2 linked regions of the Diceros bicornis minor genome follow. The protein of the gene in region 2 interacts with the protein of the main gene of each other region in a pairwise test. Links are inferred from orthologs where the notes say so. Each region holds a gene or a part of one and is shown on either strand. Other genes may lie near its edges. The genes, in order: MPP1 and DNPEP.

What was found.
Region 1: the proteins of DNPEP (region 2) and MPP1 interact in binary tests that used the Homo sapiens proteins (3 or more experiments, as listed by UniProt). The two-hybrid records come from large-scale screens. The link is inferred for Diceros bicornis minor from reciprocal best matches to the Homo sapiens genes DNPEP and MPP1.

The regions. Positions count from the first base shown.
Region 1 is NC_080781.1:139,172,697-139,182,463, forward strand, and holds the start of MPP1 (55 kDa erythrocyte membrane protein), read left to right. Parts: upstream 1-5,680; 5' UTR 5,681-6,031; coding exon 6,032-6,133; intron 6,134-9,767. UniProt on the Homo sapiens protein: Essential regulator of neutrophil polarity. Regulates neutrophil polarization by regulating AKT1 phosphorylation through a mechanism that is independent of PIK3CG activity.
Region 2 is NC_080776.1:9,660,443-9,670,636, forward strand, and holds the start of DNPEP (aspartyl aminopeptidase), read right to left. Parts: upstream 4,114-10,194; 5' UTR 4,062-4,113; coding exon 4,056-4,061; intron 3,989-4,055; exon of another isoform or gene 3,970-3,988; intron 3,469-3,969; coding exon 3,375-3,468; intron 3,290-3,374; coding exon 3,201-3,289; intron 3,101-3,200; coding exon 2,987-3,100; intron 2,734-2,986; coding exon 2,608-2,733; intron 2,394-2,607; coding exon 2,263-2,393; intron 2,033-2,262; coding exon 1,957-2,032; intron 1,868-1,956; coding exon 1,760-1,867; intron 1,019-1,759; coding exon 941-1,018; intron 1-940.

The sequences.
Region 1 (9,767 bases), on a different chromosome or scaffold from region 2:
AGGAGAACATCATTCTTCACAAACCTGAAGTGACCATTTAACTTGTCAACTTACAGTAAGCTTTAAATCAGACTGGAAATTTACTTAAATTTTTTCCACTAACCAGCAGGTGGGAGCTTGGGAGGGAAGTCATAAGTTACAATAAAACAGAAGAGCTGCATTTTCTCTGAACATCCAAGTTTCCATGTTGGTAGCGTTTGGGACTCTACTACACAAACAGTAATTTGATGAGCATCCTTACACACATCTTTATAGTCTCTATGTCTTTTTCAACTTGTTGTTTAAGATAAATTGCTGAATGTGGAATTGTTGGGTTACAGGCTATGACCACTTTACGGTTTCTGATACTGTTCCACATAAGGTTTGTACCAATTTACTCTCCAGGCTCACAGCCCTCTCTCTTCCTACTGTCCTAAACATTGTGTTGTTACCTTGGTTTTCTTTATATTTTTGCCGATTATGTTTGGCAATAAATCATTTAATTTTGCCTGCATTTTTTGAACTCTTGAAGTATCCTGAGGCTTGGTGCCCCAGAAATTTTAAACTTCCTTTTTTGAAGTATAGCACACCTACAGAAAAGAGCACAGAGTGAACAAAGTCATTGTCCTCCTCCCCCTCCACATCACCAGCCCCTTCTCACCCCCAAGGTAACCCCTGTCTTGTCTTCTAACACCACAGCCTTGCCTGCTTTTTTTTTTTTTTTGGTGAGGAAGATTAGCCCTGAGCTAACATCTGTTGCCAATACTCCCCTTTTTGCTGAGGAAGATTGGCCCTGGGCTAACATCCGTGCTCATCTTCCTCCACTTTATATGTGGGACACCTGCCACAGCATGGCTTGACAAGCAGTGTGCAGGTCCCTGCCTGGGATCTGAACCGGCGAACCCAGGGCCACTGAAGCAGAGCGTGCAAAGTTAACCACTAGGCCACCAGGCCGGCCCCACCTTGCCTACTTTTAATCTTCATAAAAACTAAATCATATGGATGTATTCTCTGATTTTCTTCTTTTACTTGTTTTGTTTTGAGACTCATCCATGCTGATGCTTGTTGCTTCACCCATTCTGTATAACGTCGTATTGTATGAAAAGAGCCCTACTCATTTAGACCATCAACTGTAGAAGGACATTTGTATTGTTTCTGGATTTTTAATAAAGCTTCTACAAACATTATTGCACAGGTCTCCTCATGCACATGCGCAAGAGTTTCCATAAAGACTATACCCTGTGATTGACTTGCTGGGTCAAGGGAAGTGCACGTTCCACCTCAGTCTCAAAGCAATTGCCTCAAGTTACGCTACTACCAGCAGTAGGAATGTGATGTTCCCGTCATACCACATCCTTGAGAACATGCAATATCATCAGTCTTTCACTTTATTTGCCCATCTGGTGGACGAAAAATTGTATCTTGTTTTCTTTTTTTTTTTAAAGATTCTATTTATTTATTTTTCCCCCCAAAGCCCCAGTAGATAGTTGTATGTCACAGCTGCACATCCTTCTAGTTGCTGTATGTGGGATGCGGCCTCAGCATGGCCGGAGAAGCGGTGCGTCGGTGCATGCCCGGGATCCAAACCCGGGCGTCCAACAGTGGAGCGCGCACACTTAACCGCTAAGCCATGGGGCCGGCCCTACCTTATTGTTTTCTTACTTTCACTTCCCTGATAACTGATGAGATTGAAGACTTTTTCATATGTTCATGGATCATTTGTCTTTCTTTCCTGTGAAATTCCTGTTAAGGAATTTTGCCCATTTTTCTAATTTGTAGTTTCATCTAGTCCTTATTGGTCACAGGAATTCTTTATATATTCTGTATATTAATGTTTTGTAGGCTATAGATGTGGAAAATACCTTCCTCCAGTTTTAGGACTGTATTTTCACTCTCAATATGATGTATTTTGGTGAGTGGAAGTATTTATTTTAATGTAGTCAAATTTGGCAATCATTTTCCTCTATGTTAGTGTTCTTGGTGTGTGTTTAAGAAATCATTTTTCTACCCCAAAGTCATAAAGGAAGTCTCCTATTTGTCTTCTAAAAGTTTTATAGTTTTGCATTTCACATTTAAGTCCTTAAGCTACTCAGAATTATTTTTGGTAAGGTGTGAGGTCAAGTCCAATTTCATTTTTTTTAATACAGGTATTGTGAGAAGCTATACTTTTCCACTCATGAACTTTGAACTGAATTTCTGTGCCTAAGGGTAGTTCTAGGAATTGAGAAAAGGAGGTAGTTGCAATAAATTCCGAGAAGCAATAAATTCCAAGGAGCAAAACCAGATTCTGAGCAATGAGCACCCTGAACCAGAACTGGCTGACCAGCAAAAGGCCTGAGAATGTTGAAAAAAAGACAAGCTGTGTGACCGTCCACCCTCTGAGTCAGCCGACTTGTTCTCCCAGTACTTTTCCACCCTGAGCTTTGCCTCAATAAAAACTTCAACTAAATTTTGCTCAAAGAATCACTCTCTCTGAAGTTCTTCCAACTGCAATTATTTGGATAAAGTGTTTGCCTTCACCTCTAACCAGTCTTGGTTTCCATTTTGATAATATGGATCCCCAAAACGCCCAGTACCACTACTACCACTCAGTGCAAGTCCATCCTTTCCCTACTGCTCTGCAATGCCACCTGTCATGTTACCAAGTATCTAAATATGCACAAATCCGTTTCTAGTCTCTCTTCTGTTCCATTGGTCTATTTGTCTACTTTTGTGCCTATGCCACACTCTCTTAATCACCATAGCTTTCTTACAGGTCTTGCTATCTGGAAGGCAGGTCCCCCCACCTTGCTCTTCTAGAGAGCTTCGGCTATCCTTGTTCTTTACAACTCCACACATCTTTTAAAATCAGATTGTCAAGTTTCACAAAACATATCTGTTGAGATTTTTATTGGAATTGCATTGAATCTATAGGCCAATTTGGGGGGAACTGACATCTTCATAAGAAAATAGGTTAGTGGTTGCCAGGGGCTAGGGACAGGGGACTGGGGAGTGACTGTTAATGGGTACAGGGTTTCCTTTGAGGGTGATGACAAAGTTCTGGAATTAGATAGTAGGGGATGGTTGTACAACTCTGTGATTATACTAAAAAACACTGAATTTTTCACTTTAAATGGGTGAATTTTATGGAAAGAAAGACAGAAACTATTTCTTAAGTATTGATATCAATCACTATAGCCATTTAACATATAAAAACGGGAAAATTGGACCCAGTTTATACCTCTCAAGCTCAGTCTGACTAGACCCACGGAGATTCTGACACCTCCTATCACTTCTAGATCCAGCACTGAACTGTGGCATGTGGGATGACTCCCTAGTGACTGCCAAGACCCAGGCAACACAACTCAGAGGTGTGGGAAAATTAACACATGGCTGGGTAAACTTTGACCAGTGAGAGAGATGAGACCAAAAGACGCTGGCAGATCAGTTCCTTTCCCCTCCTTGACAATTTCAAGATACTGTGGTTCTATACAGCATGTCTAGACGCATCTAGGGAGACTGAGAAACAAGCTATACTTTCTTCAATAGCAATGGCTAGCTCAGGAGCACAATTTATAGTTTCTGTCCATCCTTCTCTGCCTCACTTCCCTTTTTCCCTCACTCATACACCCATGGGATTGGATCCTACCATAAAGGTTTAGCACATATGTTCTGATTCAGGCTCTGTTTTATAGTGAACCCAGAAACCAATCTTCCAGCTATAATATCTTGCCTTGGGCTTCAGAGGAGGCCTGCTTCATGGGGAGCTGGGGGAAAGAAGAATGGTTTGGCTCAGGAGAAGGAGCAAGACCATGCATACTATGGTTTCTTTACCTGGACAAACAAGGCAACTCTAATTTTGAATATTTTGTATGTGCATAGAGGAAGGCCTGGAAGGTTACAGACCGAACTGGGGAAGGTTGTTTCCTCTAGGGAGTGGGAAGGGGTGAGGAAGTGTTTTTCTCTATTTTATATATGCATGTATTTCTGATTCGTTTTCTTCTCGTTTCAATAATATTCCATTGTGTGGATATGCCACAGTGGATTGGCATTTGAGTTGTTCACTGGTTTTTGCTATTAACAAAATATTTTTATGAACATTGTTGTACATGGCCCTCGTTGTACCAATTCAAGAATTTCTGCTGGATATATATACCTAGGAATGGAATTGCTGGATGAGAGGGTAGATGCATGTTCAATTTTAAGAGATAATGGAAAACGGTTTTCCTAACTCGTAGTACCAAGTTTGACTCCCAGTAGCAATGTTCAAGAACTCATATGGATTCACATCCTCTCCAGCAGTTGATATTGTTAGACTTTTTAATATTTGATAATTGAATGGGTGTACAGTGGTATTTCATTGTAGTTTTGATTTGCATTTCCTTGTCACTAACGTGGTTGAATATCTGTTCATTTGTTTATTGGTCATATGTGTTTCTCCATCTGTGAAATGTTTATTCATGCTTTTTACCCATTTCTCTACTGGATTGTTTGTGTTTTTCTTATTAATTTGTAGTCCTTTATATATTCACAATACGAATCCTTTGTCACTTGTGTGTATTGAAAATACTTTCTCCCAATGCATATCTGGTCTTTTTTGCTTTTTACTTTGTCTCTTGATAAGTAAAAGTCGTTAATGCTAGCAAAGTCAAAGTTATCAATATTCTGTTTTATAGTAAATGGTTTGTTTGCATTGTTTAAGAAATCTTTCTCTACCCTAAAATCTAAAAGTTCCTTGCTGATGTTTTCTGTCAAGAGCCTTAAAAGTTGTGTTTTTAACATTTAAGTCATTAATCCATCTGGAGTACATTTTTTTTTCATATGGCATGGAGGAGGGTTCCAGTTTCATCTCTTTCAATATAAATAACCATTTTCCAGTTTCAGTTAATGAGTTCCTCTTGACTTCCTTAACACGCCACCTTGATCATATCCCACAGTTTTACACATGCAAGGGTGTGTTTCTGTATTCTCTAATCTATCCCATTGCTCCATTAGTCTATTCCTGCAGCAAAATCACACTCTGAATTTCAAAGGTCTTGCTCTCTCTCTGTCTCAGTCTCTGTCTGTCTCAGTCTTCTATGGTTCCTTTAGGGTAATCTTGGGGAAGGGAGCCATCAATCACGTGAGCTCAAGCCTTTTAGCAGAGAAAACTGGGCGATCCGGCTCCAAATTCTTGCCCTTGGATTTTCTCCTCTTGGCTATGAGCCATTGGAAGGTCTGAATCAGATTATACAGAGAAATGATCTGCTTATGATACTGTGAGGTTACTAGCTTGGGGTAAAGGGGGTCAGGTTTTTATCAGGTAAAGGTGTATACATATGGTGGACAGCCCTGAGCCCTGTAAGCCCAGTAAATGTGTGTTTTGTTCAGAAAGCTTTCCATCATTTAGACTGCTGTTTTAACGCCACCAATGCAATAGGATGCTAAGGAATCCTGCTGTAAGATTCCTAAGGGATATCGGCTCCCGTCGCTTTCACTGATCCCTCAAAATTTTCATGGCATTAACAGCAGCCGATGTGGCCTCAGACAAGTAAAAACAGTTTGTTGTTGGAGGCAATCAGGTCTTTCATTACTGAACTGCAGACAGCAATGTAAATAACAGGGCACCAGCAGCGTAGGAGCCTCAAGGGCATTTTCGCAACGTCCTGTGCCCGCATCGATTTATGGGTAGAGCCCGGAGTTGAAGGAGCGGCTTCCCTGCCATCCCCACGAATTTGGCGAGGGTGTGGGCGGTACGCTTAACCAGCTGGAGGCTGGGGGGCCCTCCGCAGTTTGGGCGCCGTTTTCTTTATTCCCACGACCCCTCCGGGACTCAGCCGCAGCGGCGGTGGCGAGAGCTGCGCTTCCTTCCGGCCCTCAGGACCCCGGGCGCCAGCCTTCGCGGGGGCCCGGGCGTGGGCGGAGCTCCGCCCCCTCCCGCCTGGCGCGCAGCCTGCGGGGTGGTGACCGGCCCAGTCGCGTCGCGACCCGCTGCCTCCGCCTCCGCCTCCGCCGTTCCCCAGGCCCCCGGCCTGGCACTCCCGGCTCCGCCCGGACCCGAGTCACTGCTTCCCTGGGTTCCGGCTCCTGCAAGATGACGCTCAAGGCGAGCGAGGGCGAGGGCGGGGGCAGCATGCGCACCGCGCTCTCCGACCTCTACCTGGAACACTTGCTGCAGAAGCGCAGCCGGCCCGAGGTGAGCGGGTCCTGCGGGTCCCCAGGGCGCGGGGTGCGGGGCCGGGACTCGGCTCCAGGCCGCGCTGCTCGCCGCGGGACCTCCCCCGACCGCGGCCCTGCCTCCAGGGGGCCTGTCCTCGGGGGGCCTCTCCCCAGGGTGGAGGCCGCGGCGGCCAGAGGAGTTCCTGCGGGGCTTCGGGTGTCGTAGGTCGTTGCCCCCAGCACCCCTTGTAGGTGGAAATAGGAGAGGCCGCGGCCTGGACAGAGCGCTTATTAAGGTCAAGGAAAACTTCGTGGATGGAAGTCAGGGTAACAGAAACACTTTAAGGAACAGATCCAAGAGTAGGTTTGCGGGGTAGTTGTTGAAATGCTTGTATTTGGGTCACCAAAAAAGGTTATAAAAGCCAAATCTGGCTCTAAAGTGCTCACTCACTGTCCCTCTGCATTTAGGCAGGGCCCCCTGTGCTAGGGTGTAAATGGAGTGGCCTGTGTATACTTGTGGGTGGACAAGGAATCCAAGGATTTCAGAGGTAATTCTGCCCTCCAGATTCCTGTGATGGCCGGTTAATAGCTGTTAACCTGTATCTTCAAAGATGCCCAGAGGGAAGGTTGAGCATTTTCTTATTATCTCTCATAGTTCCGGGTGTGGGTTGGACCCAGCAAGGTAAAGTTGTCACTCACCGTCTCTCAGGCAAGGGCAAAGCCACCAGAACGTTCACTCACTCACTCATCTGGAGGCTGAGGCTGGCTGTCAGTTGAAGCCATCAGCCAGAAGACAGACCAGCATGGTGGCCAGGTATTAAGAGTGAATATCCACAGAGATAGAGAGAGAGAGAGAGCCAGGCAGAGGCTGTGTTGCTTTTGATGACCCACCCTCAGAAGTCATAGTGTGCATCTCTTTCCTAGACTTAGAGATCGTCCAGGGCAAGGCTGTTTCACAGTCACTTTTTTAATTTTAAATGCCTAATAAATGGGTCCTCAGAAATGTTTGCTTAATTAGCAAATGACTGAAGAGGTGGATATTAGAGATTTAGCGTAACCTTCTGCTTTCACAGATGACCAAACTGAAAATCCACGAGGTAAGGCAAACAGTAGAGCTGTAGACTCTGGGCATTAGCTTAAGGAAACAATTGATAAGCCTCAGAACTGAGGCTAGATTTTGTATCTGCAGAGTCAAAGCTCAGTGTACTTTCTGCTTCACCACATTGCCTTTCCTTTATACTACACTCAGAGTGCAGTGTTCATACAAATCATGATCACCATACTGTAGGCATAAAGGATTGCCACAATGAACAGGTGGGGAAGACGTCATTGTTATTCAGATGACAAGACAAAATTGGAAGTTATGCAGTGGAATGTGCACTAGGAGGGAATCAGGGTCTAAAACTACCTGGTTCCACATAAGGTTGGACATGTGATGTTTTTTCTTCCCCATAATCAACTCACTTGGCTGAGCCTTAACTTTTTCAAAAAAATCTCTTTATTAAATTTACTTTCGGCAGCTTTGAGGTATAATTAGCATATGTGTAATTCACGAATTTAATGTGCAGTTCGATGAGATTTGACAGATGCATCCAGTCATGTAACCATTACCAAAACCATACTATAGAACATTTGCATCACTCCAGAAAGTTCTCTCGTGGCCCTTTACAGTCACTCCCCCACTTTGGAAACCTGGAAACCACCCTGGGAATGAATCTGCTTTCCAGCACTATCATTTTGCCTTTTCAAGACTGCCTTATAAACAGAATCCAGCTATATGCAGTCCTTTCTCTCTGGCTCCTTTCCCTCAGCACAACCTGGGCCCAGTCTGTAACTTGATGACCAGACTTTGTGTAAACCTGTCTGCTCCTTATGGGCCGACTGGAGAGATTGCTTGCCTTTTTGAAAACAGGCCCCATCACTACGAGAGTTATGTTGTGGGCACATCCTCTGAGTAAACAGTAGTTTTTGTGGAGCTATGAGTTCACCCTAAAATACTGGATGCAGTCTACCAGTTAGCCAGTTTGTTTTGGTGTTATTCAAGGATTTGAAGAAGATGAAATTAGAAAACTTGCTAAATCCCTGAATGAAATAGCATCCTAGTCTGCCAAGGTGTGGACATCATGGGGAGAATCTCCATATGGTGAGGGGTGGCTTGACCCCGTGAACCTGCTGATTCTTATTTCTTAAGATTCGCCTTCTCTTTGGGGCTCTTTCTAGTCTTTGCTGCCAACGCTAGGCTCTGCCTTTCACTTGCTGTGTGGCCTTGGGCAAGCTGCTGAAGCTCTCTGTGCCTTAGGTTTCTCTTCTCTGTAAAATGGACCTGCTTGGAGGGTTGTGGTGATGTTTACCTGAGGCAATGCTTATCAAGCACTTTGAACCACACCAGGACATCCAACATCTCCCTGAGAGCTGCCTGTCCAGTCGCAGTCAGCACGTTTTCCTATACTGGCAAGAAGCAGGAAAACCTGTGAGGAAGTTGTTGGCTTTAATGGAATTCATAAAATTCTGTTACTGAAGGCTTCATTTAAGGGGATTGCTTTCTGAAAAGTTCTAAAGACTCAAAACCCAAAGTTTCACTTCCAGTCATAGTCCACATTTAATAAAGTATTGTCAAAAGATAATTTTGCAGTATGTTTGAACTGTAGCCTGTCTCCCATATTTAAGTATTTTTCCTTCCTTGGAGAAACTAATTTTATAAGCTCTCTCTGGCCTTATTCTTTACAGCAGTATCCATTAATGCGCATAGAATTGGTTGTAAAATTCCTAATACTGCTTTTCTCTTCAGTCCTGTTTGAAGCAGCACTTTTCCCATGACCTGAAGCAATAGGTTGAGAATCCCTGAAAATTCACTTGGGCCTATCCCACATCAACAAATGGCCTAAGCAGGCTCCAGGTGAGTTTCTACTGAGAAGACCTATCTGTTGATTCTTAGGCCATGAGATGCGGTATTACTCCACACTGGTAATCTCTCATTCTGACACAGGATTGTTGATTGCCTACTGTGTACAGGCCTGGTGCTGGGGCCAGGAAGTCAGTAAGGGAGGACACAGAGGCAGGTGTGGGGTGCTGGGAAGTTGTCGGAGCCTGAGTCGTGTGGTCTCTAGGATGTAATTGGTGTATAGCACTCCAGGCAGGGGCAACCGCCTGTGCAAAGACATCCAGGTTCTTGCTAAGCGTGGCACCTTCTGGGCTGGCAAGAAGCTGACTGAGTCTGGCCGGTCTGTGGTGTGCATTGTCAGTGAGGCTGCTCCTGATGTTCTCTGATTTTGCCTAAGGAAGAACTTTTGCTCCAGACTTGGATCTGGTTGCTTCATGTGAGGAGGGAATTTTTCCATTTGAGGTTTTTCTTTTCACAGAAAGGATAATAGAAAATAAAGTGTAATTTTCAAATTATTTAGTCCTCTCACCACTTTTCCCAGTACATGGTGTAGTCTCAGCCTGTCTGGCTCCTGCCTTACCCTTCCCTTCAAGGAACTTTATGACTGCCTTTCAAAAGAAAGGACTTGGTATACCTTGCAGGTAAGAATCTGGGTTTATTGTGACCACTGGAGGCTAAGTAAATTAGAGTTTTATCATGTAAATTCTAGTCAATATTTTAAATTCGAGAAGATAACCTTTCCTAGCTCATGTTCCCTGACAGTGAATTAGATATTTCAGGCCAAGATCAA
Region 2 (10,194 bases):
AACAGCCCACCGACACCACGGAGGCTCGCACTCCCCGCCCGCCTTCTGTCGTCAACAGCCAGAGCGAAGTGGGTGTGGGCTCTCACTGGCCTTCCTCTCTCAGGGCACTGCCTGGCGTGGGGGCCTTGTAACGGGATGGGACACTGCCCTTTGGGTGTTCTTCTCCCACACCTTCCCATGCAAAAGGCAGGAGGACGTGTCAGGTGGAGGGGAAGGGCTGAGAATCCTGCCAAGTCCAAAGGACCAAACAGATCATGTAAACTAATAGTCCTCAGTGAAAAGATCGAGGTCCAAGAGGTGACTGTGGCTCCATCAAGGTGACATGACTGACTAGCTGGTGGCAGAAGACGGTATGTGTCCCAGGTCTGGTTCTGGTCTCAAGTACAGCCCAAAGCCCGTCTCCAAGAACAGGATGGGGAGGGAAGAGAGGTAGGAAAGGGCAGAGGGAGGGGTGAGGAGAGAGGGAACTGACTATGACAGAAAGAAGGTGGGGAATACCAAGGTGGCTAGGAAGAAGAGAGACCACCCCACTGAGGTTCCAAGGCACAGAGAGAAGGCTGGGGGCACTTCAGCCTGGGGTGGGGGGGCCAGAGGGAGGTGGATGATACTGCCTTATGGGACGCTAGGGCCTTTCCCCTGAAGCAGAGGTTAACTAAGGGAGAAGCAGCAGAAGCAGGTTAGGACAGGACACTGGTGCCCTAAACAGCCTCTCCACCTTCCCCTACCTCAGCCCCTGGCCCCAGGCCAGTGGAGGATGGGGCCACACGGAGATACTGAGGCTGCAGCCTTTAGTCCCGTCCCTGTGGGCCACCCAGGACCGGCAGACTGCGGGGATGGCCAGCAGCCATCTCACGACCTGCTGGGGCTTGAGGCAGCCCCTCCCCAAACTCTCCAGCTCTCCTGGTGGTATGTGCTGCCTGGGAGCACCCCAGCCCCTCACCTGCAGGGCACAGAAGCAGCTGTGCAGATTGTCCAGCCGAGGGGCAAAGATGAACTCCTCATAGGCCCCACCCAGGACCTAGAAAGATAGGACAGTTAGCCTGAACTTCGACCCCTTGCTCCAACTCACCTGCATCCCCCTGTTCCCAAGGGCCTGAGTTTGAGTAAGCCTCCTTGTGCAACCTCTCCCCGACCCCTGGCCTAGGGCACTATGATCCCCGCTGCACAGGGCTGAGCGGAGAATGGTGAAGGGGGCCGGGCTGCAGCTGAGGGACAGGAGGATGGAGGCCTGTAGTTCCCACACACTCCCTGTGGGACAGGAAAAGGGCGGGGTGAAGGGTCACAACAAAAGCTAAGGAAATAAACAGAAGGAGATAAGGCAAGAAACAGGACCATAGTGCACATTCAAATAGGACCGAGCATCCAATTCTTGGCAATCTCCTACTGTTGGTAACTGGGAAGGACACGAGGACAGGCTCCAGAAACAGGGCCGTCACAGCCAGGCCTCTTGTTCTCAGAGGTTCAGGCCAGCGTGGGTCACAGTAGACAGGGACCACCCGTGGCAGAAATTCCTGAGGAATCTGTGGAAAGGTCAAGTCCCAGGCTCCAGCCCAGACAGTCCGAGTAGGCAGGTCTGCAGAAGGAAACTGCCCTTTGGAGAACCACTGCCCTGGAGGCAGAAAGGATGGTGTCTACTGGCAAGAACAGGGATGACGGTAACCGGGGGACTGGCAGAGGTGATGAGTGCCTCTGGGGACATGCTGGGACAGGCTGGGATCCCAGAGGTCCCCAGCCACAAGTGCCTACAGCCATTCCTCACCGCAGGCTGTGTGTCTGCCAGGCAGAGTTCCATCTCCAAGATGTCTTCGGGGCTCAGCCCCAGGTGGGCACACAGAAGAGACATGAGGACTGAGTGGTGCCGCTCATCCTGCAGGGCAGAAGGATGCTGGGAAGAGGCTCTGTTTTCCTCCCCCTCCCCCTCGGCCTACCCCTCCCCATGAGCAGGGACTCTCTTACTGCAGCATTGAGAGACCCTTGCTCTGGAGTCCCCTTCTCCAGCTCCTCCTGGACTGCCGTGGCAAGAATGGGGACCCTGTGGGGAGACATGTGATGGGGGGCTGGGGAGGGCTGGAGGGCACCCCTGAGCTCAGGCATCTCCTGATGGGAAACTGCTATTGCCCTTCAATTTCCAGCTGGGTCCTAAGAGGAGAAGCTGATGGTGGTCCCCAGTAAGGAGCGGTCTCCCAGGTCCCACCATCACCCTTCCATCACTGGTGCCACCCCCCATTCCTCCCAGTCACCACAGCCCTTGCCCAGTCTCACAGGTGCATCTCCATGTTGGGCCCAAAGTTCTCGTTGACATTTCGCTGCAGATGGATGGCCAGGTGCGGGATGCGAAGAATGGGCCGGTCCACGTGCACCAGCCGCTGCTCCAGCCGGCCTGAGGTCGGGCACTGTGGCCCCCCAGGCCAGGTCAGCCCAGGGCACCTCCCAACCACAGCCAGCTAAAGCCCCCACTTCACCCAGACTAACCAGGGTGATCCCCTGACCCCGACTGCCCTACCCTCCTGCCCCGGGGGGCTGTCCACAGGTACCCCGAAGAAAGGTGATAGCCAATCTCCAAGCAGCTGAAGCTGAGAACCTCCCAGGTCCAACCCCAGTGCCCACCTTGACAATGACACGTCCAGCCAAGGTCAGGTCACGGTCAAACCAGGTGCTCCAGATCCCACCGCCATAGGTCTCCACACCAACCTGCTGGAAGCCCACCTGGCTGCGGCGAGACCGCCGTTTCACCTGAGTGTGAGCATGGGGAACGAGAATCAGAGGCCGCAACACAAGGCTTGGAGATGAGACAGACCGTTCAAAGCTAAGTAACATAAATGAATATTTGTGACAGACAAGGGCTCAAGATGGGGAGGAAGGGGGCGACAAGTCCTCTTCCTTGCTCTAGTGAACAGAGCCCCTGATTTGTACCCCCGGGCTCTCTTTTGCCCTGTACTCCTTCTTCTGATGCCTCCCCTACCCCAGCACAGCCCCAGTTCCTTACCCGGAGGCAGGGACTGTCCGTGTGGGCTCCAATGAGGCTGAAACCATTACCAGGAACATACTGGCCTCCCACAGCAAAAGCGATGATGGTCGAGGAGTTTCTGGTCAGGAAGTACTGGCAGGGAGGGGGAGTTGGATTAGCCAGCCAGCTGGCACACAGACTTTGAGACCCAGCCTGGGTTCCTGCCTCTCCGCTCCCACCACACCCCTGGTACCTTGCTCTCGGGCTTGATATCCCAAGTCTCCGTCTCCTTGAGTTCATGAAAGCCAGCCTGGAGGAGGCGGCTGCGGCACTCGGCCACGGCTGTAGGGAAAGAAGCCTCTCATAGCGATGGAAGCCGGTAGGGGCCACACGGGGCCCACCCTCCTCAGCTGCCCTGGTCACTTACCGTGGAAAGGAGAGGGGCTCCGGTTCACGAACTTGAGAAGCTCCCGGGCCGCGGCCTGCACTGCCTCTTTGCGGGCCCTGCCACTCATGGCCACCTAGAGGAGGGGGGCGCTCAGACTCCGATGAGGTCTGGGACGCCTGACTTACCATCCAGGCTCCGGGGACTCCCCCCTGCAAATCCCCCCGAACTGATCGCTCCAAGGCTCAAGCCTCTGCTTCCGCCCCTTTCCCCACAGAGACGCGCAGACTCCGGGTCGAACCTCTCTCCACTGAAAGCTCCGGCCCTCCAGCCAAAGTATCACAACCCCAGCCTCGCTCTCCGCCCAGCTCGTCCAAGAGCGCCCGCCCCCTAATCCGAGCTTTAGCCCCGCCCCCTAAGTCCGGCCCCCACGTGCCTGCCCAGTTGAGAAATCCCGGCGGGTTCCCCACGTCCGAGCGCGCCCCTAGCTCTGAGCCGGCCTGCACCACGTGTTCTCTAGGGACTACCCACCTCCCCGCCACCCGCCAGTCTCTGCAGGCCACCCCTTGGCAACCCAGGAAGGTCAGGTCACCCGGGCCGGGCTTTCGGTTTCGCTTTGATCGGGCGCGGCCCCCACTTCAGCGCGCTGCTAAGCGTGTGCCCCAGCGGACGCAGGGTCGGGTCTGGGATCGAAATTCGAGCGGGGCGGCGGCGGACACCCACCTGCATAGCCCCCGCCAGGGCCTGCTTCTGCTCGCCCGGCCCCGGCGCTCGGCCCGCCCCGCCCCCGCCGTCCGCCCCGCCCCTCGCCGCGCCGTCCGCCCCGCCCCCGCCGTCCGCCCCGCCCCTCGCCGCACCGTCCGCCCCGCCCCTCGCCGCACCATCCGCCCCGCCCCTCGCCGCACCGTCCGCCCCGCCCCCGCCGTCCGCCCCGCCCCTCGCCGCACCGTCCGCCCCGCCCCTCGCCGCACCGTCCGCCCCGCCCCTCGCCGCACCGTCCGCGGCGGTGGCGGGGGCCCTCTGCCGTCCCGGAGGTGCGAGGACAGCCGAGACCCGTCGTCCCCGCTCGTCCCCCGCGTCAGAGTCCGAGAAAAAACTCGTCCCCGCCAGCTCACCTGGTCCAACGGGTGCTGTACAAAGTGCTCTCTCTCTCCACAGGCAGCCTTGAGATAATAAAAGCAACATGGCTGGTGTTCATGGAGCGCTGACGATGAGCTTTAGCTTGGTGGTCAAGCTTAACGTGTTACCTTGTTTAATCTTCACAACTGCCCTATCAACTTTGTACTTATACTGTCCCAATGTTATCCATGAACAAACCCAAATACAGAGACGAGTAACCTGTCCAAGGTAGTAAATGGCCAGAGGTGGGGTTTGGACTCAATTAATTCGATTCCGGGGGCCTGGGAACAATCCACTCTCAGATCTTCTTTGGGCCTTTTTCTATGCACCTTGCTCTGTGTAATGTTACACAGAGGGCCCTGAGGGACAGAAGTTCATGATTTGACCAAGATCACACAGCTGTTTGGATGCATGTGGGATTTGACTTGAATCTGTATGTACTCTTTCCATTTCTTGAAACGACAGGGAAAAAAAACCTCCATATGTTCTTGGTGGCAATTCCAGTATTCATATGTCAAGAGTGGTGAGTAGCAATTTAAAAAACTCAGGCACCTGCCTAGCTGTAGATTCTGATCAGGACTCTTGGTGGCCCCTAGGTTCAAAACAGGGCCCAACAGATAACATAGGGGTGTTATCAACACTCCAGGGATTACTGGTCAACGGAACAACGTGCCTCTTATAACCTGGGGTGGGAACGTTCGACCTGGGGTGGGAATGTTCGGGGAAGAGTAGCTGGAAGGTCCTGCAGCCCTCACTTCAAAGGAATAGATATTGCAGGTTAGTGTTCCAGAAGATACACACCAGGTGATGGGTTAAATTCATGGCATTCCCTAACCATTAATTTTTTTATTTTATTTTTTATTTATTTACTTTTTTTGTGAGGAAGACCAGCTCTGAGCTAACATCTATTGCCAATCCTCCTCCGTTTTTTCCCCCAAAGCCCCAGTAGATAGTTGTATGTCATAGTTGCACATCCTTCTAGTTGCTGTATGTGGGACGTGGCCTCAGCATGGCCGGAGAAGCGGTGCCTCAGCAGGCGCCCGGGATCCGAACCCAGGCCACCAGTAGCAGAGTGTGTGCACTTAACCGCTAAGCCACGGGGCCGGTCCCCTAACCGTTTATTGAAATCTTACTATGTATAAAGTTTCAGTGCTGAGTGGGACATGGGGAGAACATCTTTTTCATCTGAGGGGCCAGATGCTGGCTACTGGGGACATACTTAATGACAGTGAAAAGAGCTGAGACAGGGGTACAATGTATAAGGGAAGGAGATTTAACTTAAAGAAGACTCTCTCATGTTCTTCTGATCACAAAAAAGAGTACAGGTTAATGTGAAAAGTTCAAATATCACCAAAGTGTGTAACGTAGAAAGGGAAAGTAAATGTTTAATATATTGAACATCCGTTCTTGATAAAAACCCAAACGAAATCCTCTTAAGAAAGCAGGAAGAGAAAGGATAAAGGCTGTCTGCCAGAAATCTACAGCAGATATTAGCGGGGAAATCGGAAGTGTCCTGTTCAAATCAGAAGTAAGATATAACCAGCTGTGACCGCCGGTGGTCAGTGGGGACCTGCAGTCAGAGCCATCGCCACAAAGCCAAATAAACAGCTGCATATACGGAAAAGTAAAACTTGTCATCATTTGTAGGTTATATGAGTCCCTGGAACCTCCAAGAAAATAAACTGACAAGCTATTAGAACTGGTAGGAGCGGTGGTCTGATTCTAAAAATCATCAGCCTTCCTGTGCCATAATCAACTAGAAAATATAATGATAAAAAAGTCCTATTTACAAGAACAAGAAATACTATTAAATTCCTACGAATGAACATAAGAGAGACCCAGTCTCACTGTAATCAGGGAAATGCAAGTTAAAAATGAGATCCCGTTTTTGATTTGTCAGATTAGCAAAATAGAAAAAGACTGGTAGTACGAAACGTTGGAGAAGGCTTGGGGTAACATGCCTTTATTCCTAATTTCTGTGGTGTCAACCCTCCCCATTGCTGGTTCCAAGCTGCCAACATGAACTGAACGTGGAGTTGGGAAGAGATGCACAAAAGCATAGCATTGTATAGATTTCCACCATACAGACATAATCGACATAAATAACCCCAAGAGCATAGGTTTATATTAAAATAGTTGAGAAAGTGATGATTTTTGAGTATTTATTATCTGTTTTTAATATGATTTATTTAATTGTAAGTTTATATAATTTAATTTTTTAATGATTGCTGTGTGTAACAATGGGATCACAAAATTCTTGGAAATTTGACAGTCAGTTCTTATGAGCTGGTCCAGGTTGGCTGTAGCACACAACTTCGCTCCTTCTCTACACCTTTGTTCCTCAATGCGTGATTTGTTGACCAGGAGCATCTATAAGACCTGAGAACTTTTTAGAACTGCAGACCCTCAGGGCTTACCCCAGACCCACCAAATCAGAATCTTTGTATTAACAAGATCCCTAGATGACCTGAATGCACATTAAAGTTGAGACACAGTGTTTTAAAGTACCATGTGGCAGAAAAAAAATAATGTGAGGTTAATAGAAAAAAGTTCCAGATATATTGTTGAGTAGAAAAAAAAACAATTTCCAGAATAATATTTACAGGGCAAGAGCGTTTAGGTAAAACTTACATAATGAACTAAATTTCTAGATTTTATGTAAATACATATGTAAATGCATGGAAACAGGTTTGGAAGGAGAGTGGTCGTCTCTGGATAAGGGAATGGTCTTGGATGTGAAGTGGGAGGATCAAGGGGGGAACTTAGCTATCCAAAAAAAGTTTCTGAGGATCATTCTTGCCCTCAGCCTCCCGAGAAAAGCTTCCCTACCTGTCCTTAGCTGTGTTTATAATGCTATCATTATTCATTTATTGTGGAGTGTGTGTGCCTGCGTGCGTGTGTGTGTGTCCTGCCCCTGTCTGCTAAAATAGGTGCATTTAGAGAGGGGCTGAATCAGATGATCTTGATTTCCTGATGCCAAGAGAGCTCTGGGTATCTCATTGCTGGTAGATGTGTTGGTTGTTTAAATGAATAAATAATTTGCTTCCAGGTATAACGGTAGGAACGTGCATAACACGGTACCATGTGTCCTCTTACAGTGTGGTTGGAAGGGTACTTTAGTTTCCAACACATGTCTTCTGCTCAAGTCCTGTTTTCCGTGCAAGACTCAACTGATCAAGGACTACAAGTTCCAGGATGCCTCGAGGCGAGTAGCTAAGGAAGATTATAATTTCCAACCAATTATGTTCTAGGAGGGAGGCTTAGAAAGTACTTTATATGGTTAAAGAGAATGAAGCACCTCTATAGGTACTGATAGGGAATAACTTCCAGGATAACACTAGTAAGTGAAAAAATAAAGTGCAGACTAGCAGGTATGCTGCCGTTTGTGTGTGTAAACACTCAGATGCACACACAAATATACTTATATGTTTAAAATATGTCGGCAGTCACAAGAACATGGTAACTGACTCTGGGAAGGAGAAATGGGGTGGCTGACGGTCTGGGGTGGAAGGAACACTTTCTTCTCCTATAAATCCTTTTGCACTTTTTGAATTTTTTCCTATGTACACGTTTTACCTACTTTTAAGAACGAAATAAGTAAATTTAAAAAGTAACAAGTGGAAAGATGATCTTTAAGTACTTTGTGACCATAATTTTGTTTTCTTCTGTACCCTGAGTGAGTGAGTAAGGATTTGTTGATTAGCATCTAACCCTAAAGGCTTCAGATAAAAAATGCCCACGTAAAGCTCTGTTACCTTCTGCTGTGGAAATTGTGAATTGTGTCTTCATGTGGAAGGGGGAAGAGGATGGAATGTTTCTTTTGATGTTGATATTTAAACAAAAAAGGAACTGGGAAGGAGATAGGGAAACCAACTCCATTAATGGTTCACCTAGACAGAACTACGAACTATTGATCCTGTCTTTTTCCTGTTCCTTACTCGTCTCGTCTCCATTTCCCTCCTACCCAGCATTAATCCTGTGCTCCATCCTTATAATGGAGTCCCTTGAGTATGCCTTCGAGTCCCTTGCCCAGTCTGGATTTGCTTACTTGCCTGGCAAGAACCCCAACCCTGACTGCAACTAGCTCCTTGCTTGCTCCGTGTCTGCACCTGGCATATGGTAGATGTTCGATAAGTATTTATTGAATGAATGAAATTTTAAAAAATAATTGTTCTTGGGGCCAGCCTCGTGGCCTAGTGATTAAGTTCGGCATGCTCCAGTTCGGCGGCCTGGGTTCGAGGGTTCGGATCCTGGGGGCGGGCCTACACTACTCGTCCGCCAGGCTGTGGTGGCGACGTACATACAAAATAGAGGAGGTTGGGCACAGATGTTAGCTCAGGGTGAATCTTCCTCAGCAATAAATAAATAAATAAATAATAATAATTGTTCTTTGTGAGAAAATGGCCCTCATCGAATACTCTCCAGCAATAAAAAGGAACAAACTATTGATAATTGCCACGATGTGGATGGATCCCACAAGTATTATATTGCATGAAAAAAAGAACAAAATTCTAGAGATAGAGAACAGATTCGTGGTTGCCAAGGCCTCGGGAGGGTGGAGGAAGGGCTGGGTGTGACTCTAAAAGGAATAGGACAGGGAACATCGCTGTGGTTCTGGAATAGTTCTCTATCTTGATTACGGTGGTGGTTGCATGATTCTACACCTGTGATAAAATTAGGGTTGCCAGCTAAAATACAGGACACCCAGTTATATTGGAATTTCAGATAAATAAAGAATAATTTCTAAGTATTATAAGTACAGTATATGTCCCAAATATTGCACAGGATATATTTACACTTAAAATTTAACTGTGTCCTGTATTTTTATTTGCTAAATCTCACAATTCTGGATAACATGGCATAGAACTATCCACACACATTTCACCAACGTCCATTGCCTGGTTGGGATATTGGGCTGTAGTTACGGAGATGTAACCTTTAGGGGAAACTGAGTGAAGGGTACACAGGACTTCTCTGTACTCTTTTTGCAACCTCCTGTGACTGTATAATTATTTCAAAAAAAAAGTTTTTTTCATTGGCCGTCCAAAAAAAAACCACGTGCTCCTGTTGGTGATAAAAACAGAGATATAGGGAAGTGCTGGTGATTAACCTTGGGGGTTTTATGGAGGATTGTAAAATTGGCACTTCGCAAAGGTCTTAAGATGTTTCCCTCTGAAATGTCAAGGATCTTGTGTAGTTGTTGACGGGATAACAAAGTGGTTATGCATGTGGGCTTGGGACCAGACACACTCTGGTTCAAGTCCTGGCTCCTCCATCAACTAGCTGTGGGCCATGCGTGCAGTGGGGTGCTGCAGCCAGCTCCCACTCCCATCTCTTCCCAATTCGACCTTCAACGATATGAGCCTCCTAGCTTGAAACTGGCCTGGGAGTATTTCCACTACCGAGATTGGCAAACACCACAAATCAGGGCTCTTTTTTTTTTCCTTCCAGAGAGCTAATTGTTAAACATTTACCATCATACCACTTTGAGCCTCAGTTTCCTCATCTGTGAAATGGGGGAAGATATCAGTAATAGCAGCATGGCTGACAAGTGGTGTAGGTCCATGTCCGGGATCCGAACCTGCGAACTCAGGCTGCCGAAGCAGAGAGCACTGGAACTTAACCACCACGTTACTGGGCAGCCCCTCTTGATCTTTAATCTTGGAGAGTTTCAGGCCCTGTGGTAGGCTGCCGGGGAGGTCTAGGGAGCACTCACACCCACAAAGGGGAAGTCCTTGCAGGC